Linked DNA regions of Oryctolagus cuniculus. The protein of the gene in region 6 interacts with the protein of the main gene of each other region in a pairwise test. Links are inferred from orthologs where the notes say so. Each region holds a gene or a part of one and is shown on either strand. Other genes may lie near its edges.

Region 1 (3,773 bases), on a different chromosome or scaffold from region 6:
TGGGAGTAGGTTGGGAGGGGAGTACAGTGGCAAGAATCACTATCACTATGTTCCTAAAGTTCCATTTATGAAATGCATGAAGTTTGTATACCTTAGGTAAATGGTTTCTGGAGGAAAAAAGAAATGAAAAGAAAAAAATCTCAGAAAGATAACATGAATTTTCCATGAATTTTTTAAAACCCTTTTGTATTTATTGTTATTTTCAAGGGCATTAAAAGAGGTCATAGAATTTTTGTTTTTATTTTTTTAGGAACAATGAGGTTTTTTTTTAAAGATTTATTTCTTTACTGATTTATTTGAAAGGCAGAGTTACAGAGATAAGGAGAGACAGAGAGAAGGGCAGAGATATTCTGTCCACTGGTTCAGTCCCCAAATGGTCACAATGACCAGGGCTGGGCCAGGCTGAAGGCAGGAACCAAAACCTTCTTCTGGGTCTCCCACTTGATGCAGGGGCCCGAGGATTTGGGCTGTCTTCTGCTGCTTTCCCAGGCCCATTAGCAGGATGCTGGAATAGAAGAGGTAACCCAGCCAGGGCTCATACTGGATCTCAAATAGGATGCCAGGAAAACTGCAGAAGATAGCCCAAAGGCTTGGGTCCCTACCACCCATGCGGGAGACCCTGATGGAATTCAGTCTCCTGGCTTTGGCCTGGCCCAGCCTTGGCCATTGTGACCAACTGAGGAAGTGAACCAGCGGATGGGAGTTTTCTCTATCTCGCACTCGCACTTGTTTTCTGTCTCTTCCTCTCTGTAACTCTGCCTTTCAAAGAAATAAATCAATGTTTTAAAAGAGAATTGTGGTTTTTTCTAATTTAATAGACTTTTCCTAAGAGCAAGCTTCTTCATGACTTTGAGTTGATGATGGCAGTAATAAAGGCAGTTAATGTTTATTAGAACTCCTTTTGAGCCAGGTGCAGTTTTAAGCACATTACATATTTCAGTTCATTTTATCCTCACACTATACACATAAGATACGCAGTGTTGGTATCCCCATTTGTAGATGAGGAAATTTGCCTCATATTAATGTCAAGTATTTATTAATTTAAGGCTGTTGCATCTCTTCAAGTACTTCTATTTAAAAAATTAGTGAATTTTTTTTGTTAAAAAACATTGTTTTGGAGGTATACAATTTTAAATTTACATGACAGATACTGTTTTTATGTTTTTCAGGTATGCAGTTTTGTGTGGCTATGTATCTGAATTTGAGGGTTTACAAAACAAAATCAACTACGGGCATTGCTTCAAGGTATTTTTGATATTAAAAATGTTTTAATGTAGGTCTATATTTCATTAACAGGTATAAATTAATGCTCTAGAAATGTGTTGTCATTGTTGTTTCAATGAAATGGCACTCCATAAATAGTGCTGTGACAAAAGGAATCAAACTATTTGTGTGGTTAAATATTATTATTACACAGCCTCTAAGAAGTCACATAGTGGATGAGTATTATTTTTTTCGAAGTTGGAGGATTAACCTGTTGGTCACAAGCTCACCAACATCACCCATGTGACTGGGTCTAGTTAGTCAGCAATCTTTCCACATACTTGGTGGGAGGAGTTAAGATCCAATCTAGGGCTAAATTTTCCGTGATAGATGAACAAAATAATAATCCACATACACATCATTTGTCATCTGCTCTAGTTAAAACGCTCAAAAATAAGCCTGCAGGGTCAGTAATTCCAGGAGGATCGAATAGTTCTTTCTTGTTTTCTGGCTGCCTATACCCATTTTGATAATACCAGGGGAATAGTTCCTCTCCCATCTAGGTCCACTAATTTTTCTTCCACTACACCTTGCTCCATGCCATTTGATGTCTGTAAGCTTTCCTCTGAATCAGTACTAGCTAGGTAAGTCATGGGCAGAAAAACTTTAGGTGTTTTCTAATTTCTATAGCAATTTTTTGGCTTTAAATTATACGTAGCTTTATGAAGTCATGATCACAGGTTTGGTCCCGGTTTTGACAGTCACTTTTGAGCACTGAATTATTGAGATTTAATTGTCTCAGTTGTTACGGATTGAGGGTGCTGCAATAACATTGTAAAATCACGTTGTAGTTACTAGGCTTTGGCATGGTTCCATTCAATAATATCTGAACCTTGGGAGATGACTTTTCCTTTGGATGCTTCTTTCAGGAACATTTGGATATAGCAATCCAACTTCTACCTGAAGAACCCTTTTTGTATTACCTCAAGGGAAGATACTGTTATACTGTAAGTATATGCCTTTATTTATAAATCTTATTTGAATATACTGTGATTCACATCTTTAGTGATGTATTTATTCTTTCATTTTTACCCTATACCTACTATAGGGAAAACTATAAAATCAGCCTATGTTTTCTATGAATTTATATGTTTTATAATTTTATATATTATTTAAAAATTGACTATATATTTTATAATTTCCAACTTTGAATATCTTGTGTTATATGCAGTATTTTATATATTTTTTCTTTCTTCTTTCCTTGTATTTTCCTTTTCTTTTGCAGTAGTCAAGTTTGTGGCTCTGGCTACATACTCATTTAAAAGGCTAAAATTTAAAAGATTGAGGTGTTGGCAAGGATATTGAACAGTTGGAACTCTCATATATTCTGGTGGGAATATATGAACAATAAATTAATATAGGAATAAATAACATAGTGATTCTTAAGTATTTACCAAGAGAAACAAAATGCACACTCACTCAATGGTTAGAACATGAATGGTCATGGTCGTGTTGGCAGCACATCACCCTGGGTGACTTTTTAAAGCATTATGCCAAAGAGGCTCACAGAAGACAACATGATGCATATTTCTATTGATATGAAATTCTAGAAAAGGCAAACCACAGTCGTAGGTCAGTCATTGCCTAGGAGTAGGGAAGGGAATTGACTGCAAAGGGGCACAGAGCACTTAGGGGATGAGAGAATAAACTACAGTGTATTTTGATTGTGGTGGTTACATGTTGCATACATTTATCAAAACTTATTTAACTATGCCTGCAATGTGTGAAATTTCACTTTAATGTAGATTATAACCTGATACACCTGAGGAAATAAACACTGTATCATTTTTTACAAAGTTCAAAACCAATCAGAAATAAATATACCAATAGGTGAAATTATGTAAAAGAGCAAGGAAATAATTTTTTGTAAATAGAAAATAATGCATACAATAGGTTTTCAAAATTTAGATGCAAAATTAGGAAATCCATAAATATTTTTCATAATACACATTTTCATGAGCTTTCTAATGACTCCGTATATCCATGAAGTTCAAAAATGTTTTGTACCAAATTTAGCTTATATTTTAATTCCATTCTCCATGAACATTTTGGAGTACCTTCATTTTGGGGGAAAAATGAAAAAAAATTTAGAAGGAAGCAAAAAGTAAATGATGATACAAAATTTGCTTTTGGTGATTATTGGGTAAACAAAAAATCTCCTGGATTCTAAATATGTATGCTGGGTCCTCACGCTATGCTGCCTCTGCTTTGAGGCTCATGGTGCTGTTTACATTTCTGAGTTGCTGCCTCTGTTTCAGAAGACCTGTGAGCAGTGTGGAGTAGGTAGGAAGAGAGCCCAGGCAGGGTCCTGTACCTCCCACACACCGAGCTGAGAAACGCTCTGCAGTCGTCCCAGAATCACCAGTCAGATGAGCAACCACACCTCAGCATCGTTCCCTATCATGCCCCTCTTTCTGGGATTCAACACAGATCTTCTGATGAATATTTCCTTTTTTAGCTGTCTATTTTCTTCTCTCTCTCCCTCTCTCTCTCTCTCTCTCTCTCTTTTT
Region 2 (4,480 bases), on a different chromosome or scaffold from region 6:
TTTTTTCTCACATGGAGATGCATTTTTAATACATAGAGGACACTGGTGATCTTGGTAAAAGGGGTTTTAGTGGTAGTTCAGTGGAAAACTGGAATAAAGGCATTGCAGTGTCCTGAGAAATAAATAGCAAATAGGAAAAAAGAGAGATGAATAAATTCTAAAGATACAGCTGTAAAGGGAATTGAAAAACAGGAAAATAAAGGGCTGTCACCGTGGTGCAGTGGGTTAAGCTGCCACCTGCAATGCTGACAACCTGTATGAGCACCAGTTCGAGTCCAGCCTGCTCCATTTCCAATCCAGTTCCCTGCTAATGTGCCTAGGAAAGCAGAAAAAGATGGTGAAGTACTTGGGCTTCTGCTATCCAGAAGCAGCCTCGTGGCTTTGGCCTGGCGCAGCCATGGTCATCGTGGTCATTTGGGGGAGTGAATCAGTAGATGGAAGCTAGCATTCTCTCTCTGCCTTTCAAGTAAATACATAAATCTTTCAGAAGAAAAGGAAGACAGGAAAAAAAATGGAGTAGATCCTGAAAGGTAAGAAGAATATTTCTCAAGGTTTAAAGGATGGTATGGACAGAGAGGGAAAAGCTGACGCAGGAGTGAGGGAATAAATGAAAGAAACGCCTTGAGGACACGGGAGAGGATGGCATTGGGAGTCAATGTGATTTAAAGAGAAGGGACCCTTTTAACTCTTCAAATAGAAGAGAAGAAAGTTTGTATTTGGTTTCAAGAAAATGATGACTTCTGTTTTCTCTGCATAATGCAATGGAAAGCCTCTTTTCCAAAAATACCATTTACGGGGCCAGTGCTGTGATATAGCAGGTAAAGCCACCGCCTGCAGTGCCGGCATCCCATATGGGCACCGGTTTGAGTCCCAGCTTTTCCACTTCTGATCCAGCTCTCTGCTGTGGCCTGGGAAAGCAACAGAAGATGGCCCGATTGCTTGGGCCCTGCACCCGTGTGGGAGACCCAGAGGAAGCACCTGGCTCCTGGCTTCAGATCGGCGCAGCTCTTGACAATTGTGGCCAATTGGAGAGTGAACCAGCGGATTGAGGGCCTCTCTCTGCCTCTCCTCTTTCTATGTAACTCTGACTTTCAAATAGATAAATAAATAAATCTTAAAGAAAAGAAAAAATAGAGAATTAAAAAAAATACCATTTGCTACTCATGAATTGAGATAAAACAGAGCTACTTAAAAATATCTAGTATATTGTTGAAAAGTCAGAAACACTGTAAAAATCACAAGGTTTATAAGAAAGGCTTGATAAGAAAAACGATCCTTATTGTAGAGAGCTCCCCTACTGATGATGTGTAAGTTTCAGGTAATTCTTCCTTTGCTCCACTTTTCCTATGGTCTGACTTGAAAACGTCTGGGGCTGGCACTGTGGTGTAGCCAGTAGATAAAGCCGCTGCCGGCAGTGCCGGCATCCCATATGGGCGCCGATTCGAGTCCTGGCTGCTCCACTTCCCATCCAGCTCTCTGCTATGGCCTGGGAAAGCAGAAGATGGCCCAGGTCCTTGGGACCCTGCACCCGCGTGGGAGACTTGGAGGAAGCTCCTGGCTTCGGATCGGTTCTGGCAGTTGTGGCCAATTGGGGAGTGAACCAACAGATGGAAGACCTTTCTCTATCTGTCTGTGTAACTTTGACTTTCAAATAAATAAATAAATCTGTAAAAAAAAAGTTCCTTTTCTTTCCAAAATTAATTCACCCACTGGTACCATATCATCCTCTTCCTTCTCATCCGGCATTTTCTCTTCTCTTTCTAGAACCCTTAATCTAGCACACTGATTATTTGCTTTCTACTCCCAAACACATGTCTTGTATTCGAAACAATCAAATTCAAACTTTTCATCTCACCACTCTGAGTAATCGGGCTTCATGCCCCAAATGATGAAGGATTAGTCTACACTGCATTATTAAAGCAGCTCTCTCAAACGGCCCAAAGATTCTCTAGCCTTCAACACTTTACTACTTACTCTTCGATTTCAGCTTCCTGCTTGGGCTCTTGCAGCATTTCATGTCTGATAACCTTCCTGAACACACCACAAAGGCTTCTTATCATACTCTACGGAATGTCATGGTTTTGTTTCTCACCCTGAAACTTAATTCCCAGTTTAGTTCTCAGAGGTCGCCCCTCCGCACACAAAATTAATCTCTGCTAATCTCCACCTAAAACATTCTTTCCAATTCGATAAATCCCACAACTCCACACAACCCCTTCTCCTTTTGTGATGGCTCCCAATTTTATACTGACATCACCTTCTTCATCAAATAGGCTGTAAATTCAGGTGCAAACGAATCTAAAGCCAACATGCCACATTGCCCACTTTTCCACAGTCACCTTTCTTCGGAACAACGGCAACATCCTCCTAGTATTCTCCACCCTCTAACAGGATGTCCGCTCAGGGCCATTAGGAGTTTTGTCATCCAAAAAGGAACCCTGGGGCTAATTCGAATAGTCAGAACTCCAGCTCCCTGAGGCAACAAGACCCTTTTCCCGTCCGGGAGCACGGAGAAGGACGCCTACAAGCAGGACCTTGTGCCTGGGAACACTGCCCTGCAGGTGCATCTTTCTCTTCCGGCCCAGCTGGCAGGAAAGCCCGGAAGGCCGGGAGCCGGAGAGAGGTGCGGCTCCAGGTCGCAGCAACAGAGACGCTCCTGGGGCCCAGAGCCTCAGCCATTCAGCCTACTACCCAGCTGTCCCCTGTCTGCAGACTCCCCAGTCTCCGCACTCACCCGGACACCCAGGCCAGTCAGTCTGATTCGGCGCCGGGTCCTCTCCGGACCAAAGCTGAGGCAGCAGAGAAAGCCGTGAGGACCCCGCAGTTGGAGTGCCCAGAAGATCGCCTGACTAACAGCTTCAAAGACTCAAACTCGGTCTCCCGAATTAGAAAGATTAAATAGCAAGATAGGCGTTAGGTGAGAGAAAAGAAATTTCTTAATGTTTGGGATTTAAGTCTGCTAGTTCATCTAGGATCTAGGAAAAGGGCGGGATTCCGCACCGTTTGGACTCAGGCGCTCATCTGCAGCCTAACTCAGTCTCGGGTCCCCTACAGTGGAGTGGGTGGGGCCATGAGGGGGCGGGGCAATACAGGGGTAGAGCCAATGGTGGTGGGTGAGAGAGTCATGGAATGGGCGGTGTTTCGGAGGGCGGGGTTTGGAGAAAAAAGGCGGTGATGCGTGGAGGGGGCGGGCTCAGAGGGCCGAGGGGGTGGGGCGGTCGGTGGAGCCCAAGTAGGGTGGGAGCGCGAAGATGGCAGCTGCTGAGGAAGAGCCAAAGCCCAAAAAACTGAAGGTGGAGGCGCCGCGAGCGCTGAGGTGAGCGCTGCCCGAAGTGGGGAGGAGGGTGACGGCGCCTTCAGCAAGCTAGGGCCCACGTGGGGTTGCGCAGCCCCGGCGTTCGGTGGTGTCCGGCTGCCTGCCTGCATGGGGCCAGCACGCCCGACCTGTCACTCAGGGAGCTGCTCGCGTGGCCGCGACCCCTCGCCCGTCCCCATCTAAGTTTACTTGACTGGTCGTCCGCTCCAGTGCAGCTCCGGTTCTGGCAGCTCTCCGCTAGTCAGGGCGGCCGGCGGTGGTTGGTGGTAGTGGGGGGAACTGAAGCCGATTGCAGGCACCACGTGCGTCCCGCGCTGCTGGACTGGTGCGACCCTGGAGGACCGGTCCGGAGCAGCGTCCGTAGGCAGCCACCTTCGCTTCCCAGAGGGAAAGCGGGGAGAAGGCCTGTGTCTGTCCAGCTCCGGGACAAACAGAATTCTTGGGAATTTTTTGACAAATGTCGAGGAAGGATGCCTTGACCTAAGGCATACGCACTTTGAAAACTGGCACCTTTGGAGACCTTCTGTCGGGGACCCATACCCCACCTGGGAGGCTTTGCAGGCCGAGTGGATGGGAAGGGCTGGTTTTCTTTTTTATTTGCATTTTTTTTGGCTGCAGTTTAGAATTTCTTTCCCCAACACCAGTCTCATGTATGATTGATGTTGCAACTTTAACTTACAAAAAGTCGTTTGTTAAAAACTGCCTTCCTAGCAAGTATAAAGTGCAGCGGCACAGTCTTTGATGATTTTGAAGTGTTCGTTGGAAGGCGGGGATTTTTTTAAATCTAAAAATAAACTTTCAAACTAATTTAAAGCTATTGAAACACTACTGATTATACAAATTCCATTTCTTCCAACTCTTCTTCGCTTCCAGAAGATTGATTTCATTCCTAATTGAAAACGTCATTTAGGGACATGGTAGTGTGTTCATACTGTTTTGAAAGGAGAGAGAGACTAAATCCCTGCCAGTGCTTCTTTTTTTTTTTTTTTTTTAAGATTTATTTATTTATTTGAAAGGCAGAGTTACAGAGAGGCTGAGGGGGAGAGAGAGAGAGAGAGAGAGAAATAAAGTAAGTCTTCCACACACTGGTCCACTCCCAAGATGACCGCAACGGTCGCAACCACGCAGATCCAAAGCCAGGAGCCAGGAGCTTCTTCCAGGTCT
Region 3 (4,314 bases), on a different chromosome or scaffold from region 6:
TCTCGGCTTCCCAGGCCCTCTGTTTTGCACCCTGCTCTCCTGTTCCAACTTGCTGATGTCAAAGTCACGATCCGAATCCTCATCACTGAAGTCGGGGCTTCTCCTCAGGTCAAGTCCGCCGGAGCTGTTAGCTTTCTCATCTCCTTCAGGATCATCTCCGCTCAGGCCGGAGGCTTCCTCCTCCTCCAGGGCTTGTGCTGTCTCCTCCTGGCCATCGGCCTCCCTCTCTGAGCCATCGGCCTCCACCTCTGAGTCATCCACCTCCATCTCTGAGCCATCAGCCTCCACCTCTGAGCCATCAGCCTCCACCTCTGAGCCAGCCTCCTCACACTGCTGGGCCTCGTTCGCTGGGAAAAGACTGATGTCTTCGTCTTTAACTGCTGTACTAACTGCATTTTGGAAGTACTGTAAAATCGGTTCATTCTGCAGTTCCAACTGTTGCCAAATCTGCTCATCATCAAATTTATTTATCACCAGTTTCTGTAAAGGACTCCCATGGGTCCCACCTTTCTCTAGCGTTTTATTGAAGTCATAAAGTACTTTGGTTAAAGAAATGAAGTTGGAGGCCAATTCATCTTGAATCCTATTGGGGGGGGAGTAAATGAGAATTACACACATGCGCAGTGATTTCACAGCACTCCTAAAATAAAGGAAACTCTTCAGCAAAATCAAATTTAAATGCATGTCAATTTTAGATATAGATTCTGGCATCCCAGGCAAATGATGACGGAGAGTCAGATGGTGGAGATTTACGCTGGAGTTAGCCTGGCGAACAGGATAGTAGTTGTCGCACTCAGAATTCAGGCCCGAGGCACAAGTCCCAGGACCGCTGAGGAGCGCGGGGCACAACGCAGAAAGGCCCGGTCGCCAGGGTGGACAGACGAGCCCGAGCTTTCAGTCCAGCGCGCGCACAGGTGAGCGTGGTCTGGGCGCACACGCAGGTGCGCGTCCCGAGGACGCGGCGCTGGCCGCGAGCCGGCCTCTGGTGGGAGCTCACCAGCCCACAACGGAAAAGCCACACCGCGCTGCTTTCCATGTTAAAGTCCTGGCCGGCCGCGCGTGCGGAAACTGTCTGACATTTTGGGAAAAGTGAACCACACTCCCCCTTCACGCAGCTCCGGAACCTTCCGGGGGCCCGAAACCCGAGCCCACGTGAGGCCGTGCCCCGGCTCTGCGAACTTACGTGAGGAAGCGCTCGGGCCGGCCGGTGGCCTTGCTGACCTCCTCCACACAGCGCTGCAGGGTCCGCCGACGCCACACCCGCGGAGCCATCGCCGCCGGCAACTCGCGACACGGCTCCGCGCGTGAAGACTGGAAAGAGCCCCCACCGGAAACCGCGCAGCAAACTCGTGCCTCGCGCAACCCGCAGCTGGCGACCGAAGGTTCCGCGGCACACAAGTTCCCGACCCACCGCTAGCCGGAGCCACAGGCAGCGCGCGAGCTTCCATTGCGCTTGCGCAGGAAGGCGGGCTGGGAAACCGGAAATCGCCCCTGGTAGCGTTCTCTCGGCTTTCTGTTTGGCTTTGCAGTGGGGCCGCAAATGGCGATGCGTCACGGGTTTACGTTTCCGCCTTAGAAGCAGTAGTGCCTCACTGTTCTAGCTTCCTGGATCGTATTATGTTGCCACGCCCCCAGCTCCCCTGTCACCGCCCCTTCGGCCTCGTGCCCCGCCCCCCGGCCGGGGGCCAGTGTTGAGCGGGTCGCTTCCCAAAATGGCGCGCGCGCTGAAGGCGGTGGCGGCGACGGCGCGGGCCGCGAGCGCCGTAGGTGAATACCGGGCGCCTTCGGGCTGCGCCGCGGGGCGGGCGTGCGGACGGGAGCCCAGGGGGCTGAGGAGGCCGCTGGGGGCGCAGCAGGCGGCTCGAGCGCGCTGGGCTCCCCCGGCAGCCCCCAGCGACTGCTCAGCCCGGCACCCGGGTTTCCTCAGCGCTGCCGGCCCGGGAGCTGCGCGCGGATGATTTTGCCCCTTTTTTTATGTTCCGGCCGGAGAGGCGAGGGAACCTGTGCAGGGGGGCAGGAGCGAACGGGAGTGGGGCGACGCGCCCCGAGCGGTGGGGAGAACCCCGAAAGCAGGGCCAGTCCTGCAGACGGTGCATCCCGGCGCGCCCGGGCACCTGCTGGCCACGGCCGGAGGTCAGCGGTGGAAGAATTCCGCACCGTGCAAGAGACGGGCAGGCGGGTAGGGGACATTCCTGGAGTTCTCTGCGCCTCCATTTTTAAAAACTATTTCTTAAGGGCTACACGCTCCTCCTGTGTGTGTCTTTTCCTTCTCTTCTCCCCTTCGTGCGAGGGCGAGCGTTCGTCTGAGATTTCCTGTGAGCAGGAAAGTGCCAGGTGGTAACTACGGGAGCTGCTCCTGGAGGTTTGGGATAAATCCTCCTAGCGCCAAGGGCGTGAGCCTTTGTCAAGGTTGGATTTCTCTGCCCCACCATTGAAACGTGCGGACCTGGTCAGCCTTGGAAGTCCGGGCTCAAACCGCGTCGGCTCCTGGTTGACCTGTGCAGGCGTTTTCCGCAGTCACCACATTCCTTGGTGGGCTCACGTCGCAGGTCACCCAGGTTCAGTGAGAAGCCGCATTCCAAGAAGAGGTGCACCGGAACGGGGTTTAGCTGTCCCAGCGCTGTGGTATCTTACACCTGAGAAATACCATAACACACCGAGCACAGCCTCCGCGAATTTGCGATTCACCGGTGGGCCCCCACCGCTGGTAATAGCACACACCAGCAGCCCTGCCTTCCTGTGCTTGTGAGCTGCAAGTCAGTATCTTAACTCATTCACCATAGCTTTGGCTTTTACTAGGACGCCACAGTACCCCAGGCAAGAGGAAGGTGTATGTAGCTCACTTTGTGGAGTTCAAGTCCAAGACCAAGCAGCACCGTTTTTGGCCTCTGGAGAGCGTGGTAGGTGCCGGTGGTGGGCTCCTGCCGAGGAAGGTGCAGGTCACAGGCCAGGAAGCAGCGCGGTTGGGCACCAGACCAAACCCTCTCTTACAACCCTCTCTGGAGTAGCGTCTTCCCAGGGAAGACGGTGCAGTGGCCTGAGGACTCCCTCCAGGCCCTGCCTCCTCCCATTAGCGCCACCCTGGGAACCGAGCTTCCACACAGGGGCCTGTGGGGGAACATTCAGCACCCAGACTAGATGTCCATGTCACAGCATCTGCCTTGGCAAGTAGCTCTTTGCAAAAAAGAGTCCTCTCTTGTTCTGTCTTGGAAAGCCATCTCTTAGAAAGTAGGAATTGCTCATAGAACACATACAAAGATACTAAAATTTGAGAATCAAAAGAATGGTTCAGGGGCCTGTGTTGTGGCACAGCCAGTAAAGGCGCCACCTCCCAGCATCCCATATGGGTGCCAGCTTGAATCCCGGCTGCTCCACTTCCAATCCAACTCCCTGCTAATAATGTGCCTGGGAAAGCAGTGGAGAATGGCCCAGGTACTTAGGTCCCTGCCCCCACAGGAGATCTGGAGGAAGCTACTGGCTCCAGCCTGGCCCAGTCCCTGGGAGCGACCCAGTAGATGGAAGATCTTTCTCTCTCTCTCTCTCTCTTTGTAACAAACTTTCAAATAAGTAAGTAAGTCTTAAAAAAAAAAAAAAAAAGTGGTTCAGAGGAATGAGCAACGTAAATGTACTGATTTAAAAGCCTCAGCTTTGGTGCCAGACGGTTTGAGGCCCAGCTTCGCCATTTAGCATAATGTTAAGGGACATGACTTAATCTCTGTCAGGCCTTTTCTTTTTTTTTAATCCCTGAAATGGAGGACATAATATCTGACTCAGGGTTGAAGGGTTACACAAAGTTCTTACTGAACTGCTGTCCTTAGTGAGGTCTAGTGGGCAGATAGAGGCTGCTGTATCATGTCTAATGCAGTATTTGAAATTTCACAATTTACTTTGGATTATGGATTTAGGCAAGAGTACGTAGGAGCACTGAAGTATGTATAACTCTAGCAGGAAAATAAACCAATAGGTTTGTCCTGGGAATCTGAGGTCACATTAGTACTATTTTACCCCATGGGACTCTGTCTTGTGCTGATGTTAAGTCCCAGTGGCTGGTAAAACATGGAGAGTGTGTGGAGACTGGTCGGGGTGTATTAGCCTTGAGCATAAAAACCAGCCTGTAGGTTCTTCAAAGGCATGTTTGTTATAAGTGTTATGTCATATTAAAAAGGTCATAAATTAAAACAGCTTTCTAAATATATCTTCTCAAACCAGATATGCAAAAATTCAGACTTAAAAAACTTTTTTCATGTTCTAAAATTAGAGAATGTAAAGGTTGCACAACTTTCCAAGTAGACAAAAAACTACTGAATTGTACAC
Region 4 (4,373 bases), on a different chromosome or scaffold from region 6:
CAGCAGATGGCCCAAGTGTTTGGGCCCCTGCAGACCCAGAAGAAGCTCCAGCCGGCTAGTTGCGGCCACTTGAGGAGTGAATAGATCTCTCTCTGTAACTCTGCCTTTCAAATAAATTAATTAAAAAAGAAAGAAAGAAGCCGTAGGAGGCCAAGCAGCTGGCCCACAGGGACTCGGGGCTCATGCTGGGCTGGTTCCCCTTAACCCTTGCCTCGCAGATGTACGTCCCTGGCAAGCTGCACGACGTGGAGCACGTGCTCATCGACGTGGGCACTGGCTACTACGTGGAGAAGGTGAGTGGGGCGAGGTTGGGGAAGATGCAGAATGTGGTCTAGGGTCTCCGGTTAGCCCCTCGTTCCCCTCTGGTCTTGCAGACAGCTGAGGACGCCAAAGACTTCTTCAAGAGGAAGATAGACTTCCTCACCAAGCAGATGGAGAAGATCCAGCCGGCTCTGCAGGAGAAGCACGCCATGAAGCAGGGTAAGCCCCGCCCAGCCCTGGCGGTGTGGACAGCCGCGGCGCCCCCTCTGCCCAGATCCCCGCGTCGGAAGGCCGTCCCGTCGCGGCTTGGGTACTGCTGGGAGGTGGAGTGAGGTGTAGGTAAAGGAACACACAGCCCGAAGAAGCAGATGCAGGCAACTGAAACCCTGGCTGCCTAGCAGGGTCACCCACTGCAGATCAACCAAACTCCCTGGAGTGGGGTAGGGCTTTGTCCCTGGGACCGGGGTCTCCTCACTCCCAGCCAGGACTGACAGCTGTGCTGACTGGGGCGGCCTTGCCACACGAGAACTTTCTGGTTATCCGCATGCATCGATAGTGTCCATTGTCACCCCAGTGACCGGCGCACTGACCCACACGTGGTGGACTCAAATGTTGAGTGCGCGCCCCCACAACGGCCGCGGGGTCCGAGGTCGCATGACTGCGACCGTAGTCGGTCCCCCAGCCGCACCCGACTCCCGCCTTCTCCCCACAGCTGTCATGGAAATGATGGGCCAGAAGATCCAGCAGCTCACAGCTCTGGGGGCAGCCCAGGCCACGGCCAAGGCCTGATCGCTTCCTGCAGGAGCGATGCCTCGGGGGCCCAGGACTTTGGGGGCCTGGCTGGGGGGGGGCGGGGGCGGGGGACTGGGAGCAGCTCAGGCGGTGCCTCGGGGCCCAGGACTCTGGGGCCTGGCTGGGGGCGGGGTGGGGGAGGGGCTTATGTTTATGTTTAATGTTAATAAATGTGCTGCCATGGCAGAATGTTGAGCTGTTCTTGCATTAAGCGAGGGGCCGGTGGTGCGATGGGAGGGGGCGGTAGTGAGGTGGGCCGCTCCCCAGAGCCCGTCGAGTAGGCGCGAGCGGTTCACCTGCGAGGCTGCACCCCAGACGCGGCGGGGAGCTGCGGACTCGTGGGAACAGCTGGCGAGCGGAAGCGGAACCGCGTGGGCGCTTCCTCTTCCGGGTCGGCTGTCCCCGCCCCCCCGCCGGCGCGGGGAGCTGCATGAGCCGCCGTCTTCTGCGTGGTTTCTTCCCGCTGCTGCCGCCCCTGCGAGCCAGGCGCTGCATGCTGAGCTCGGAGTCCGTCTCGGCCCCCAAGCGCCCGCGTCGCAGCTTCATGGCGCCGCCCCGGATCGGAACGCACAACGGCACCTTCCACTGCGACGAGGCACTGGCGTGCGCCTTGCTTCGCCTGCTCCCGGAGTACCAGGTGCGGGGCCGCGACACCGACCCTGGGACCCGCCCCTTCTAGGAGCCCAGGCAGCCGAGCCGGAGACCCAGCGCCCCCCCGTGCCCGTGCGACCCCCGGCCGCCCCCTCACCGCTGTGCTCTCCGCAGGATGCGGAGATCGTGCGGACGCGCGACCCCGAAAAGCTGGCCTCGTGTGACATCGTGGTGGACGTGGGTGGCGAGTACGACCCGCAGAGACACCGATACGATCATCACCAGAGGTGGGCTCATGGGCGTTCCTGCGGTTACTTTTTCCGGTCTCTCTTTCCTTCGCTCCAGCCTAAAGCTCGGGTTCAGCCGAGCCGCCGCCGCCGTCCTGAGAGCCCAGGGGCAGGGGGCTGGCGGCGGGCACGGCGCTGCTTGGACACCCACGGGCCATTCCGGGAGTGCTCGGGGTCCCTGCCACCCGTGTGGGAGGTCGGTCTGTCCCTGTCTGTGTCTAAGAATTAAAGAGTGGTTGTCCCTGAGGGCCCGTGAAGGTATTCTAAGTCTCTGCTCTTTGCTGTTCAGGCGCGCCCACTTCTTAGCTGCGGCTCAGAATAGCCCGTCTTCGGCCCACCCTCGCTCCTGCAAGCCACTCTGCCAGCCGCTGCTGGACCTGCCCCTACCTGGGAGCGGACCGGGGTCGCCCCTGCCCGTCCTGCCCGCTTGTCTCTCACACGTGGTCTTGCTTGTGTGTTTGAGGTTCACTGGTGTTTGTACAGCGCTCCTAGAATATCTAACGGAACATGAACACCCACAAGCCAGCCTCACAACCTGAGAGCTGAGACGTTACCGTGACCTCCACCTCCGTACCTGTGACCGCCTTCCCTGTCCCCAGCAGCAAAAGATGCCTGAAGTTTGTGTTCGTCACACCCTTGGGGTTTTTTGTTTGGATTTTGTTGTTTTATTTTTCTTTGAAAGACAGAGGCCTTCCCGGAACCACAGGTTCCCTCCTCAGGTGCTCACAGCAGCCAGGACTGAGTCAGGCTGAAGCCAGGGTCTCCCAGGTGGCTGGCAGGGACCCAGTAGGCAAGCCGTCACCTGTCACCTGCTGCCTTCCAGGGTGCGTGTGAGCAGGACGCTGGGTGGGAAGTGGAGCCGACTTGAACCCCGGGTCTCCGATACAGGGTGTGGGCATTCCAGGCAGCACCCTCAGCCCGCACAGCTGCCCACCTGCGTACCCGTGCTGCCGTGTAGGTTCACACAGCTGTGCATCAACGGGGCATGCGGTTTTGCCTCTTTCCCAACTTTGTCTCACCAGTTGTTGTACCGTTTTGTATTTTGTACCTGGTGAATATTATTTTGCATTGACTCAGTCTTTAGTAACAGAACTCATTAAACAGGCATCAGTGAGCTCCCCAGGTGATTGGAAGCTGGACTGGTATTTAGAAATGCCTGCCCTGGCTTCTCCCCTAGCGTCTGTCGCACCCTTTCCCTGTCCACTGCTGTGCGTGTCGTGGCTGCCTGGGTCCCACCCGTGTCACTGCAGTCACCTCCACGCCAGCCAAGCTCCGGCACACACCTGCCCACTTACCGCCCCTCCAGCAGCTCCCCCGCGTCCACGGGAAAAGTCCAGAACACTGCACCCAAGGCCTGCCATGGTCTGGCCCCTACCTGCCCTCCTGCGGTTTTTTATTTTAATGCTTGTTTGTTTTTCATCTGAAAAGCAAAGCAACAGACACAGATCTTCCACCTGCTGGTTCACTCCCCAAATTCCTTCAGCTGCCTGGGCTGGGCCAGGCTGAAGCCAGGAGCCAGGAGCTCTGCGTGGGAGGCAGGGACTCAGTGCTTGTGCTGTGTGCTGCATCCCAAGCGCAGCCTGACCCGCTGCCCGGCTTCCTCTCTGGCCAGTTCCTCGCTACCCCCAAGCGCCACGAGGGACTGGTCTCTCAGCCACCGTCCACGTCGCTCCCTCACCTGGAATGCTTGTTCCTGTGCCCCTCTGTCCAGTAAACCCGCTAACCCAGCCTTGGGGACTGTCCCGCAGGCGCTCCCCTCCCTGCTCCTGTTCAGTTGTAGCCAGAGTGCTCGCTCGCTCGCTCGGACCCTGAAGGAAGGCCAGGTCAGGGTCTTGGTTTTTAGCCTCGCTGTCTCCTGGCATGCAGTTCGCGTCGAATAGACCACTGTGGAATGAATGCGTGACTGGAGATGAAGCCAGCTGGCCCCTGAGGAGACCCAAGCCTTCGCAGACGGGCTTCCTCCCAGCTCCTGCACCAGTCCCCACCCCCGGCGGGCATCTGCTCCACTTCTGCCCGCCTCCCTGTGCCCCTCAGGTCTTTCACGGAGACCATGAGCTCCCTGTGCCCCGGGAAGCCCTGGCAGACCAAGCTGAGCAGCGCGGGCCTCATCTACCTGCACTTCGGGCACAAGCTGCTGGCCCAGCTGCTGGGCACCACTGAGGACAACGACGTGGTGGGCGTCCTCTATGACAAGGTGTGGACCCGAGACAGATGCGGCCCGGCACTCGCCCCGCTGCAGTCAGGCTCACCTCACTGGCCACAGGGACCTGCTTCCTGGGGGCTGAGAGTGGATGCATAACACAGAGAAAGGCTGTGGAAGCCAGCAAGCGGCACTTCCCGGGGTTTTGTTGCTTGTTTTTTTGTTTTTTCCCTTGACACCTGAAAAAGATGGAAACATCCAACCCAGAGGCTGTGGCTGCCCTGAAGGCTTTGATTGCCAGA
Region 5 (4,246 bases), on a different chromosome or scaffold from region 6:
GACTTGGGCCATCTTCTACTACTTTCCCAGGCCACAGCACAGAGCTGGATCGGAAGTGGAGCAGCTGGGGCTTGAATCAGCGCCTATATGGGATGCCGGCACTGCAGGCCCGAAGAAGCTCCTGGCTTCAGATCAGCGCAGCTCCAGCTGTTGCGGCCAATTGGGGAGTGATCCAGCAGATGGAAGACCTCTCTTTGCATATCTCTGACTTTCAAATAATTAAATAAATCTTGAAAGAAAGAAAAAGAAAAGAAATGGACCAGCCAGGACTTGAACTGGCACCTACATGGGATGCTGTCATGGCAGGCAGCACCGTAACCCCCTACGCCACATGTCAGCCCCCAAAAGCAGTTCCAGTTTTTTGTTTACTTAGGTGCCTGGCCATCAGCATGTTATGCCACCGTGCCAGCCCCTGATCCATTTCTGATCCAGGTCCCTGCTAATGTGCCTGGACAAAGCAGTGGAGGATGGCCCAAATGTTTGGGTCCCTGCGCCCATGTGGGAGACCCGGAAGAAGATCCTCGCTCTTGGATTTGGCCGGCAAAGCCCTGGCCGTTATAACCATTTAGGGAGTGAATCTGCAGAGGGAAGCTATCTCTGTCTCTTCCTCTCTCTATAACTTTGTCTGTGAAATAAATAAATAAATACATCCTTAAAAAGAGAGAGAGAAAAAAGGAATATTAACTAAATGTTAAAAAAAATAATTGGGGTCAGATCAGGTGGCTGGTGCCGCGGCTCACTAGGCTAATCCTCCGCCTGTGGCGCCGGCACACTGGGTTCTTGTACCGGTCGGGGCGCCGGATTCTGTCCCGGTTGCCCCTCTTCCAGGCCAGCTCTCTGCTGTGGCCCGGGAGTGCAGTGGAGGATGGCCCAAGTGCTTGGGCCCTGCACCCCATGGGAGACCAGGAGAAGCACCTGGCTCCTGCCTTCGGATCAGTGCGGTGCGCCGGCCGCAGCGGCCATTGGAGGGGGGGTCAGATCAGGTATCTTTATTTTCCACTGATGGGTTCTAAGTTGGTTGGGAAGTCAGAAAAAAAGTTCTGAGTGACAGCTCCAGGGGCTTAGCTGGCTGGGTCAAGCTGCCACAGAGTGGAACTGTTTGTTCAGCTCTATCCCTGTAAACTGAATAACCACAGGTCACTGCCACCCATCCTGTGTGCACACTTGTTTGGGGATCACTGGAGATGTCCAATGAGCTACCTGAGACCTCTGGCTGAAGAAATCTGGGTGGACAAGTCGCTGCAGCTCCTGGTACCTGCGCTGGAGCTTCGTGGTATCAACTCTGAAGGAACGGTTGCTGGAAGGAAATTGGAGATGAAATCCACACAACACAAAATGATAGATTTCTCTCCTGTTGGCCTGGTTCCTGCTCTTGGGGGAAAATGCAAGAAGCGCAGAGATGGAGATCACTTTAAAAATAGCTAAGTGCTCAGCCGGCGCCGAGGCTCACTAGGCTAATCCTCCACCTTGCGGCGCCGGCACACCGGGTTCTAGTCCCGGTTGGGGCGCCGGATTCTGTCCGGGTTGCCCCTCTTCCAGGCCAGCTCTCTGCTGTGGCCCGGGAGTGCAGTGGAGGATGGCCCAAGTGCTTGGGCCCTGCACCCCATAGGAGACCAGGAGAAGCACCTGGCTCCCGGCTTTGGATCAGTGCGCTGCGCCGGCCGTGGCGGCCATTGGAGGGTGAACCAACGGCAAAGGAAGACCTTTCTCTCTGTCTCTCTCTCTCACTGTCCACTCTGCCTGTCAAAAAAAAAAAAAAAAAAAAAAAAAAAGCTAAGTGCTAAAAGGGAAAAGAACAGGGGGTCAGCAAGGGTGGTAGACGCCAGGGCCCTCTGAGCTGAGCCTCAACCTGAACACGATGATGATGATGAGGATGATGATGAGTAATCCGAGATCAGGGGAGCGACACCCAAGCGCAAAGACCCGGGCGGGCAAGTATAGTCGCAGGCCGAGGAACTTCGAGGGCAGTGCTGCTACGGCCCATCCTAAGCACTCAGTGACCGGTGGCGGTAGATCCCAGAGGAGGGTGACCAGGCATCCCCAAACCCCACCCTGTTCTTCTAAAGCCCGGGGACCTTCGTCCCTGGCTCCTTTTTAATCCAAATCCCTTCGGCTTTCTACTCCCAGAGCCGGCCCTATTTCCTCACCAGCTCAGCTGTGCCCACATCTCCCCACCCCCAGGGCGGAAAACCCTCTTCTTCCAAGATCCACGTTCCCCCTAGGCCTTGCCCACGATGTGAAGTTCTCCGCCCACTCCTCACCTACACGTCCCACCCCAGCTTCCCCTCAGGTCTCCCCGCCCCCAAGATCCGCCCCTCGCCCGCTTCCCTCTCCCGCAGGGGCCGCCCCAGGGTCTCCCCCCACCCCGTCGCCTCCCCGTCCCCGCCCATCCAGCCCCCTGCCCACTCCGGCTCCACCCCTCAACGCCCCTTCCTCTCTCTCAGGACACCCCACAAACCCCACTTTCCGGGCTCCGCCCACCGGTCTTCCCGGTCCCGTCCTGTCCTTCCCACGCCTGGCCCGCCCTCCACGCTCGCAGGCCAGCCCCTGGCGCCTCTCTCCGCCATGCATTTCCCAAAACCGCCTCCCGTACCAATCCATGAGGCTGAAGTAGTCTCGAGCTCGGTCAGGTGGCTGCAGCGCGCGGCACTGCGGGCAGAAGAACCCGTCCCCCAGCCCAGGGGCCCCCGGTACACCGCAGTTCCAACATCCGGGCGAATTACTTCTCGCCTGCGACGCAGCATTGCAGCTTAACAGTCTCCTTCCGGGAACCCCTGCCGGCCACAACTCCCACACCCGGAGCAAGGCCCGGGACCTCCCGCTCCACATCTGGCCCGCGGCCGGTCTCCCCACCGGTGGGGAATAAGCGGAGAACACTGTCGACGAGCCTGAAGCTGCCGATTGGCTGAGGAGCTGCGGGGGCGGGATCACTGCAGTGAGCCCCAGAGACTGTGTTCCGCTCTGCCTCTTAAACTACAACTCCCGGCAAGCATTGAGCCTACGCGTGGCGGTCACATCCGCCGCTCCTCATTGGTCTGGCGGCGGCGGAGAGCGTTTTGATTGGCTGAGGGCGGAGTTTGTATCTTCAGGTTTAGCGCCACTCTGCTGGCTGCGCCTGTGGAGAGTGTGCGGCTGCAAGTGGGCTCACGCGGTGAGTCATAGTGGGGGAGCTCTTCTTGGGTGTTTGGGGGATCGAATCTCGTTCTCCAGGGTCTTTGGCGAGCAGAGTCTCTCAAGCTTCCGCTTCGTCTGGACTTCTGAGCCGGCGGCGGACTGCGTGGGCGGCTTTCTTCCTTAGATAATGTTTAACTTCACTTCCCTCCTCGTTATTTATACATTTAAATAGGCCAGGACCGCAGGGAACAGAGTTGTGCTCGTCACTGTCACAGCAGCGCTGCTTTGTAAAGAGGTCCGTGACCGATAGCAATTATGAACAGTTCTTTAGAGGCGATCTCTAAGCTATTGATGGCGAACCCAGGCTTGGCTGCTGGGCACCGCAGGACCTGGACACACACTGACCGGGCTGGAGCAAGTCCCTGCGAATGGCCACACGGACATACTGGGGTGCCGTGACCACGCGTTTGTGTGGCCCTTGTAAGCCTCTCAGATTGTCTGGGACTGGACTTCTGCTCACAGCCCTGGAGCTTTCCTGCTGCCACTTTGTCCCCTCACTCACTCCTCTGCTCCCAGTTAGCAACCATTACCCTAGGAGGAGCATTACACGCACTGGCGCGTTGAGAGCTCTGGTCTGGGTGCTTTTTTTCCAGATGAGGAAGTGGGTCCAGAGAGGCCGAGGCATAAGATCGTGCAGAAGTTCGACTCCAGTGCCTGAGCTCAGGCCTGCTGGCCTCTAGCCTCTTAAAGCTACCTCTTGGCACACTCTCCCCGCTCGTTGGGGTGGGGGAGTCGGGGACCCAGCCTGGCTGACCGTTTTAGATCAGCAGGTCAGGTGTGTTTTAAGGATCACACAATAGGACTTTGGTAATTTTTTTTTTTTTTTAATTTGACAGAGTTAGTGAGAGAGACAGAGAGAAAGGTCTTCCTTCCGTTGGTTCACCCCCTAAATGGTGCCTATGGCCAGAGCTATGCTGATCCAAAGCCAGGAGCCAGGTGCTTCCTCCTGGTCTCCCATGCGGGTGCAGGGCCCAAGCACTTGGGCCATCCTCCACTGCCCTCCCGGGCCACAGCAGAGAGCTAGACTGGAAGAGGAGCAACTAGGACTAGAACCCGACGCCCATATGGGATG
Region 6 (4,291 bases):
TGACTCCTACGACCCCCCTTGGGGAAAAGGAATTCGAGTTATACAACTGCACCTGCAGAGACGGGGGTGGGGGGCAGGAGGGCAGCGGAGGCTTTGCCTCCGATCTTCGGGACTCAGCACGCCACAGCAGCGGACGCTGGGGTGTCCTTCGGAGCCCAACATACACCTGCCGGCTTGGATTCCGATCCACTTCCAGGGCCTTGTATGGATGGGAAATAGATCATAAAAAGAAATTGATAAATAAATATCACAATGCTATAACATCCACCACTGACTGAGGTAATACTCTTTTTTTTAAAAAAAAAAAAAAGGTTTATTTATTTATTTGAAAGTCAGAGAGACCTCCCATCTGCTGGTTCACTCCTCAAATGGCCACAACGGCCAGAGCTGATCCAATCCAAAGCAAGGAGCCAGGAGCTTCCATCCTCCATCCTCCACTGCCTTCCCAGGCCATAGCAGAGAGCTGGATTGGAAGTGGAGCAGTTGGGATTCGAACCAGCGTCCATATGGGATACTGGCACTGCAGGCCACACACAGCACCAGCCCCCCTCCGCGTTTAAAAGAAATGCCCTTTTTTTTTTGACAGGCAGAGTGGACAGTGAGAGAGAGAGAGAGAGACAGAGAGAAAAGTCTTCCTTTACTGTTGCCCCCCCCCCCCCCAATGCGCCTGGAAAACCACCACCCATCCAGGAAGTCATTTCTTTCTGGAGAGACTCCAGGTCTGGGTATCATCTCTGGTCCCACTCGGGCAGTTCCCACGCGGTTTCTCCCTTCCTGGGGACAAGAACAAGGTAAACCTTCTGGACTGGGTCTCCACCTTGACCGTCTGTGCGTTCCTGTCCTTGCCATGCCTGCACAACCCGAATGTTAGCCAACACGCCGCCAAGGCTGGCAAGCATCCCAGGCCCGCCCGCGCCCCCCGCGCCGCGCTCGGCCGCGGCTGAAAACCCCGCCTGTACTGGGAGTTGAGCCGCGTCTCTCACCCCTGGCCCACGGTCTGGAATAATCTTCCTTGCGGCTTTAACAAGGGTGCGAATTATCTTTTCTTTAACATGAGCTAATTTACTTTTTCTCACAAGGATTCTCCCGGTTCTGCAGGAGCCTGCAGCAGGTCCCATCAGCCGGTCTCCCAGCATCCAAGCCACGCAGGAGGCCACCGCGCCCCCTGCTACAGGAACCCCGAGATCTGGGGTGGGGCCCCACTGCCTGCTGCGCAGCGGCCGCCCGGAGCCCAGAGCGCGTGCGCACAGCCCGACGCCGTCTCCTAGCAACCGGGCGGCGATCACGTGGGCCGCCGGAGCCCGCCTCACGTGGCCCAGAGCCGAGCTGCGATTGGAGGGGCCGCAACGGGCGGGGGCGGGGCCGGGACAGTGGTTCCCCGAGTTCGGATCCCAGGAGGCCCTGCGGCCGCCGCGCAGGTTCCGTCCGCCGGGGTCGTGATGGAGCTGCCTGCCGTGAACCTGAAGGTGGCGACGGGCGGGCGGGGGTGGTGGCGCGAACGGGAGGGGACACGTCCAGGTGAGAGGGCGGTGGGCGACAGGCCCTGGCAGCGGAGGCCGGCCGGGAAGGCGCGAGGGGCAGCCGCGGGCGGCCGGGCCGGACAGGGCAGGGCCGGGGCTCCCTCCCGGAGTCGGGCCTGCGGGCGCGGGAGGCCCGCCAGCCCCGAAGGAGCGGCCGCCGGGAGAGGGGCTCGGCCTTTGCCCAGGAGCCATCTTTACAAGCTAGACCTGGTTAAGACGCTCAGCTGTGGCCAGACGACCGGGCTTTCCCGACCCTGCAACCCAGCGCCGTCGTGTCGTCATCCAGAAACAGGAACTCCAGTGTCGCTTAAAAGCAGAAAATCCCGACTTTGTGATGGGGGGGGGGGTCCTGCGGGGCCTCCTGGGGTGCTGGACCCAGATGCAGCCCAGGGCCTGGGGGCTCCAGCTTTGGCACAAACCGGCTGTTTGGGGTCTCGGTGCTGGCTCCTTTGGGACTGTGTCCAGGAATGCCTCTTTACTCATGAGTGACGAAGCATTTAGCACCATAAGGAATGGAAGACAGGGCTGGCGAGGAAGGATCTGTGCGATCCTTTCTGGGCCAGTACCCACGGGCTGTGCCGGGCCTTGTCCTGGGCAGGGTTCCCTTCCTGGTCACACAGGCCTCGGCCGGGGGGCTGGGCTGGGAGGTTTAGCCAGGAAGAAATTCCCAGCAGGGCCCCTGAGATGGGTCGGGGGCGTGCTCAGTCTGCTGCATGCATCGTGGGGTTAACGCTGGCTGACTTTTCTGCGGTCAGGGATTTGCCTAGAGTGACCGCTGAGAGAGGGTCGGCTGAGGGAAGGAGCTGGGGGCACTGCCAGGGAGGGTTCCTCCTTGGGGTCTGGGGTTTGCCAGGTTGGTTGTTGAATCACAGCCGCCTGAGGAAGCCAGTGCTGTCCTCAGAGGAGCAGGGGCGGCTCACTCAGCCCGTAAATTGCCGTAAATTGCCGAGGCCCCACGAATGTCAGTTTCCGTCTGGATTCTTTGGGGAGAGAGAGAGAGACCGTATTCACATAACTTCAGATGCAGCCTATTTTAATAATTGTTCACTATTATTGTTGTTAATCTCTTATGGTGCCCAGTTTATAAGCTAAGCTTTGTCCTAGGTGTGTATGTAATTGGGCTGGGTGTTGCGCAGGGGGGTGAGCCACCGCTTGGGACACCCACATCCCGTATTGGAGTGACAGTTTGAGTCCCGGCTGCTCCACTTCCTGTCCAACTTCCGTGCTAATGCACCCTTGCAGACAGTGGCTGATGGCTCAAGAGCTCGGGCCCCTGCCACCCACGTGGAATTAAGGGGCCCTGGCTGTGGCCTGGCCCAGCTGTGGGGAGTCAACCAGCAGATGAGAGATCTCTGTCTCTGTCTCTCTCATTGCTCTGCCTTTCACGCAGGTGAAAGTAAATAAACATTAAAAAAATAGCATGGATAGGGTTTGCTACTGTTGTGGTCTCGGGCATCACTGGGGGTCTTGGAACAGATACTGTTTGTGGTCTCGGGCATCGCTGGGGGTCTTGGACAGATCCTTGGCTGGTGAGTTGTGACATATTAACAGATTGAGAATTCACGGTGTGTTTCTGTTTGCTACACCTGGACTGCCCTGTGGGGGGCAGCTGTGAACCCCTTGAGGAAGGCACTTCCCCGGATTTCCTGAGGTCAGAGCTGGGTGCCGGCTCCCTGTGGCCTGCCCCCGCCCCACCCCCGCCATGCATGCAGTCCTTGGGCATTGGCTGAGAGCCTGCTGTGTCCTGCTCGGCCGGAGCGGGCATGAGGCCAGGAGAGAAGACGAGCTGCCCCAGGCCTGTTGCACACAGGGCGGTCCCTCACTGAGCCCCATTCGCGCCTCCTGAGGCGTGCGCTGAGCTGGAGGAATGAGAAAGCTTAGAAAGGACTGGGCTTGGGTTCCTGAGTTCTGGTGAGAGGGGGCGGAGCCAGTGGCCCTGACTTCCAACTGTGGCTGTGTGAGCTGCCGGGTACCTCGGGCCGGTCCCTGGCAGGCGCTGTGTGGACGCTGCACGTGCCTGTCCACCCCATGTACCCTGCATCCAGACGACGACACTGGGACAGGTAGCGCTGTCCCTGCTAAGAAGTCAGGCGACTGAGCCGGGGTCGGGTCTACAGCGTGCCTCCACCCCCGCTCCCAGGCACCGTAGCCACTGCCCATCAGCCTCAGCCCCTGGGATCTCCGTATCTGCTGTAGGGGGTGGCGGGGAGCGTTGCACAGGGCAGGAAGGGACATAGTGCATTGCTCCACCCGCTGCATGGCTGCTGCCCACGGCCTGTCCAGGAAGTCCCCCTCCGCGCCCCTCCTTGGGTCCTCTAGTGGCCAAGAAAGGGATTAAGTCTTGGTCCTCTGCGCCTTGGTTTTCCTTAGCTCCCCCCTCTCCAGGCTACATGGCCACAGCTCCACTGCCCTTCCCCTCCCAGGTCCTGACAGTGCAGCCCAGGGGCAGAGCTCAGGCCTCGGAACAGGCAGGCCGGCATTCGTGGTCAGCCTTGCTACTTCCTGTGTGCCCTTGAATAGGTTCTTAGCCTCTCTGAGTGTCCGTTTCCTCACTGTGAACTCTGCCTTCCGATGGTCCGAGGAGGATCCGTGATTCACGGGCTAGCATAGCGTGGGGTTAAAGGCTCAGACCAGATAGCCCAGTTCTGAGACTGTGTTTGCTCTGTTTATAGCCAACTGCTTCATCTCAAAGCCTCAGCTCTCAGCTGTGCCATTACAGGGATGATGCGGGCCACGTATCCGGGCGGTGCAGACGCCATCACCACAGTTGT
Region 7 (3,191 bases), on a different chromosome or scaffold from region 6:
GACCAGGCATGGGGGTCTGCCTCTGCACGCAGCCCTTGGATCCCCAAGTCGTGCATCCCGCTCTTTTGTGTTTTTTTTTTTTTTTTTTTTTTTTGACAGACAGAGTGGACAGTGAGAGAGAGAGAGACAGAGAGAAAGGTCTTCCTTTGCCGTTGGTTCACCCTCCAATGGCCGCCGTGGTAGGCACGCTGTGACTGGCACACTGTGCTGATCCGGTGGCAGGAGCCAGGTACTTATCCTGGTCTCCCATGGGGTCCAGGGCCCAAGCATTTGGGCCATCCTCCACTGCACTCCCTGACCACAGCAGAGAGCTGGCCTGGAAGAGGGGCCACTGGGACAGAATCCAGCGCCCCGACCGGGACTAGAACCCGGTGTGCTGGCGCCGCAAGGCGGAGGATTAGCCTAGTGAGCCACGGCGCCGGCCGCTCCCACGCTCTCAATCTGGCTCCTTCATCTCCCGCGCTGACCAGACCAGCCCTGTCCTCCCGCGAAGCACCCCCTCCCGTGGTGTTAGAGACCCTGGCTCCCACCTGCCTCTCACCTGCATTTCCCACTGCCCACCCCTACCTTCTCCACTCACTGAAAACTCCTGGCTTCTCCAGGGGAGGGGGCCACCTTCGGCCTTCAAGGAGCACCTACGGTAACATCTCGATTGGATTCACCCCAGAATAGCCAGAAACCAGCAAATCTTTGTTGGATCAATGCAGAGACAAGGGAGGGGGCTGGGGGGAGGCCAGGCGTTAATCCGGGCGAGGCTTTTGGAGAACCGGGCTCCGAATTGATCCTGCGTCGCTCGCTGCTGCTGCTCACACGGCTTCATAGCCAGACCGGCGCACGCCGCAGAGAGCGCTCAGGCTCAGGGCACCTGGAGTGCCAGAGAGCCTTTAAACACTTGCCCCCCCCCCCCCAGCCCAGCTGGGTCCTCCCCACCCAGAGTCCCTGGGGCAGAAGGCTGGGTGGTTACCTGCCCACAGCAAGAGGATGGCTGAGACCCAGCCCAGGTAGAAGGACCAGGAGAAGAAGGTCTGGATCTGGGGGTGTGAAGGCTGGCCCCACCGCTCGCTGGTGTACACGGCCATGGCCACGACCATGGAGAGCGCTGTGGGCGAGAGACAGCTCTGCCTGGGCACAGGGACTCAGGGGGTCCCGGCACCCAGGTCCGGCCCAAGTCCTTACCTGCAGCAAAGGCTGAGATGGTGGAGATGAGGTGGCCACGGCCCAGGGCGGACAGCGAGCGGACATAGGACAGGGCCAGGAAGGCCACCGCCACCAGGACCCACATGGCAGCCAGGACACTGAAGGTCTGCGTCACGTGGATGTAGCCTGCTTAGAGACAAGACTTAGTGCCCGCACCTCCCGGTGACCCACCGCATAACAGCCCCGGCCCCCTTACCTGCCACTGGGTCCTGCGGGTCTTTGGGCCACAGCCCTGAGTGAGCCGAGATTGGCCCTACGGCCACGAACCAGTAATCGGTGCTCAGAGCGATCACTGTGCATGCCAGGCCCAGGCAGCCAGCCAGCAGGGCAAGGCTCCGGTAGGGTTCCATGGGGTGCGCGTTGGGTGTTGGAGAGAGGAGGGGCTGTGCACGCAGTCCCCGGGGGTCCTCAGAGCTCAAGAAAGCACTGGCAGCCGGCAGGCGGTCGGGAGTGTGGAGGCTGGTTTGGTTTCACAGTTTCTAGCAGCCAGCTCTTCACACACCCTCCCTTCCTGGGTTGCACAGACAACGGTCCATTCCCCTCCTAGCCGGGGTTGGGGGAGGGCTCTGGGGGTGTCGGATCGGTGGTTTGGGTGGTGGCTTAGAGCTCGCCTCTCTTGTCGCAGGTTCTGGTCGTCCCACCCCAGAAACCCTCAATACCAGACAGGGCTTCCTGGAAGGGGTGAGAGAGAGAGAGAGAGAAGCTAAGGGCCTCCGAAGTGGGAAATGGCCAATCAGGCTGGGGCAGGAGCTAACTGGGAGGGGAGATGTGGCCAGAGGGGACAGTTGGGGATGTGTCACTCTTTCCTGTGGTTCTGCAACTTGTCCTCCAGGGACAGGAGGGGCCCCTCTCTAGGGTCTCCACCAGAGGAAGCGGGGTGGGGGGTAGTCCCAACTCCAGGCCCTAAGGGAGGAAGGGGCAGGTGGGAGAGCTAAGGCTCCTGGGTTTCCCATTTGGGAGCTTATGCCCGGGACAGGCAAACCCTGTTAAGCTGCAATTCTGGAAGGTTTATGGGGAGGAAGTCCTGCCCACATCCTCACTGATAACGGAATCCAGAGGCAGCTCTGCTTGGACGGGGTCCCCCAGCATGGTAGGCCTCTTCATCAGGGCTAGGGTGGTGGGAGCCCGGGCCAGAGAGGGTCCCAGGGACGCCGGGGCGGGACCCTCAGCCCTCCAAGCACTCATCGTCATCGGCACCAGCATCAGGACCTGGGTGACCCCTCGCCTGTGAGCAGGTGTAAGGTGCAGGTGCCACAGCCCAGGACAACTCAACCTCTAGGGCAGCAGGGAACATTCCAGAAAAGGGGCTCAGTCGTAACCATTCACTGGGCTGGCGGCTCCAGGACAGCTGGTGAATGCAGAGCCAGAGTGGACCAGGAGGCCAGAGCTTCTCTCTTGTTGGAGGCCTGGTTTGCAAGCCCCCAGACACTCAGCCGCAAAGACAGCAGCTGCTCCTAAGGACACGTCCACAGGGACAGGCTCCCGGAGGCAGACGAAGCTGCCATGAGCAGCGTGGAAAGAGCAGAGTTCAACCCCATTCCCAAATTCAAGATCATCCCCATCTACATAGCATCCCTGCCTACACCAGCTATAGGTTCAACACCACCCCCAACACTGTCCTCACCCCACCTCCAACCCCTAACTTAACTCCCCACCCATCCCCAAAACCAACCCTCTCCATCTTATCCCAGCTCCCTCTCCAAGCCTAACCCTGTCCTCATCCCGTAAGTTCTATCCTCTCCTCTCCAGCCTCGGCCCCACCCCCGCTCTCTCCCTCATTCTCCCCCTCCCAGCCCCCATCACTCCTACCTAACCAGCCCATTTCCACCACCTGCAAGTCCAGGTCTATTACGCTCAAGTGCACCCCACCAGCCCCACCCCCAAGTCCCCAGGTGGCCTGCCTGTACCTGGGTGCAGCAAGTCTCTGCCCATGTAGGAATTGCAACCCAACAGAGGCCCTGGTTCTCCGAGCCCCTGGAGCGCACACCTCTGGA

Evidence for each region.
Region 1: the proteins of AGTRAP (region 6) and RMDN2 interact in binary tests that used the Homo sapiens proteins (3 or more experiments, as listed by UniProt). The two-hybrid records come from large-scale screens. The link is inferred for Oryctolagus cuniculus from reciprocal best matches to the Homo sapiens genes AGTRAP and RMDN2.
Region 2: the proteins of AGTRAP (region 6) and AP3M1 interact in binary tests that used the Homo sapiens proteins (3 or more experiments, as listed by UniProt). The two-hybrid records come from large-scale screens. The link is inferred for Oryctolagus cuniculus from reciprocal best matches to the Homo sapiens genes AGTRAP and AP3M1.
Region 3: the proteins of AGTRAP (region 6) and MCEE interact in binary tests that used the Homo sapiens proteins (3 or more experiments, as listed by UniProt). The two-hybrid records come from large-scale screens. The link is inferred for Oryctolagus cuniculus from reciprocal best matches to the Homo sapiens genes AGTRAP and MCEE.
Region 4: the proteins of AGTRAP (region 6) and MYG1 interact in binary tests that used the Homo sapiens proteins (3 or more experiments, as listed by UniProt). The two-hybrid records come from large-scale screens. The link is inferred for Oryctolagus cuniculus from reciprocal best matches to the Homo sapiens genes AGTRAP and MYG1.
Region 5: the proteins of AGTRAP (region 6) and HSCB interact in binary tests that used the Homo sapiens proteins (3 or more experiments, as listed by UniProt). The two-hybrid records come from large-scale screens. The link is inferred for Oryctolagus cuniculus from reciprocal best matches to the Homo sapiens genes AGTRAP and HSCB.
Region 7: the proteins of AGTRAP (region 6) and NKG7 interact in binary tests that used the Homo sapiens proteins (3 or more experiments, as listed by UniProt). The two-hybrid records come from large-scale screens. The link is inferred for Oryctolagus cuniculus from reciprocal best matches to the Homo sapiens genes AGTRAP and NKG7.

The regions. Positions count from the first base shown.
Region 1 is NC_091433.1:164,777,403-164,781,175, reverse strand, and holds part of RMDN2 (regulator of microtubule dynamics protein 2), read left to right. Parts: intron 1-1,169; coding exon 1,170-1,245; intron 1,246-2,132; coding exon 2,133-2,210; intron 2,211-3,773.
Region 2 is NC_091446.1:65,204,566-65,209,045, forward strand, and holds the start of AP3M1 (AP-3 complex subunit mu-1), read right to left. Parts: upstream 3,061-4,480; 5' UTR 2,735-3,060; intron 1-2,734. Other genes in the region: ADK (adenosine kinase), read left to right, coding at 3,252-3,316. UniProt on the Homo sapiens protein: Part of the AP-3 complex, an adaptor-related complex which is not clathrin-associated. The complex is associated with the Golgi region as well as more peripheral structures.
Region 3 is NC_091443.1:11,955,536-11,959,849, reverse strand, and holds the start of MCEE (methylmalonyl-CoA epimerase, mitochondrial), read left to right. Parts: upstream 1-1,472; 5' UTR 1,473-1,712; coding exon 1,713-1,767; intron 1,768-4,314. Other genes in the region: MPHOSPH10 (U3 small nucleolar ribonucleoprotein protein MPP10), read right to left, coding at 1-583, 1,184-1,272. UniProt on the Homo sapiens protein: Methylmalonyl-CoA epimerase involved in propionyl-CoA metabolism.
Region 4 is NC_091442.1:56,311,064-56,315,436, forward strand, and holds the start of MYG1 (MYG1 exonuclease), read left to right. Parts: upstream 1-1,434; 5' UTR 1,435-1,483; coding exon 1,484-1,690; intron 1,691-1,818; coding exon 1,819-1,931; intron 1,932-3,965; coding exon 3,966-4,125; intron 4,126-4,373. Other genes in the region: PFDN5 (prefoldin subunit 5), read left to right, coding at 219-293, 375-480, 974-1,050. UniProt on the Homo sapiens protein: 3'-5' RNA exonuclease which cleaves in situ on specific transcripts in both nucleus and mitochondrion. Involved in regulating spatially segregated organellar RNA processing, acts as a coordinator of nucleo-mitochondrial crosstalk.
Region 5 is NC_091452.1:22,178,063-22,182,308, reverse strand, and holds the start of HSCB (iron-sulfur cluster co-chaperone protein HscB), read right to left. Parts: upstream 2,830-4,246; coding exon 2,594-2,829; intron 2,550-2,593; exon of another isoform or gene 2,482-2,549; intron 1,298-2,481; coding exon 1,201-1,297; intron 1-1,200.
Region 6 is NC_091438.1:156,703,795-156,708,085, reverse strand, and holds the start of AGTRAP (type-1 angiotensin II receptor-associated protein), read left to right. Parts: upstream 1-1,347; 5' UTR 1,348-1,439; coding exon 1,440-1,466; intron 1,467-4,291. UniProt on the Homo sapiens protein: Appears to be a negative regulator of type-1 angiotensin II receptor-mediated signaling by regulating receptor internalization as well as mechanism of receptor desensitization such as phosphorylation.
Region 7 is NC_091449.1:6,943,508-6,946,698, reverse strand, and holds NKG7 (protein NKG7), read right to left. Parts: upstream 1,821-3,191; 5' UTR 1,548-1,820; coding exon 1,394-1,547; intron 1,324-1,393; coding exon 1,177-1,323; intron 1,100-1,176; coding exon 965-1,099; intron 866-964; coding exon 807-865; 3' UTR 670-806; downstream 1-669.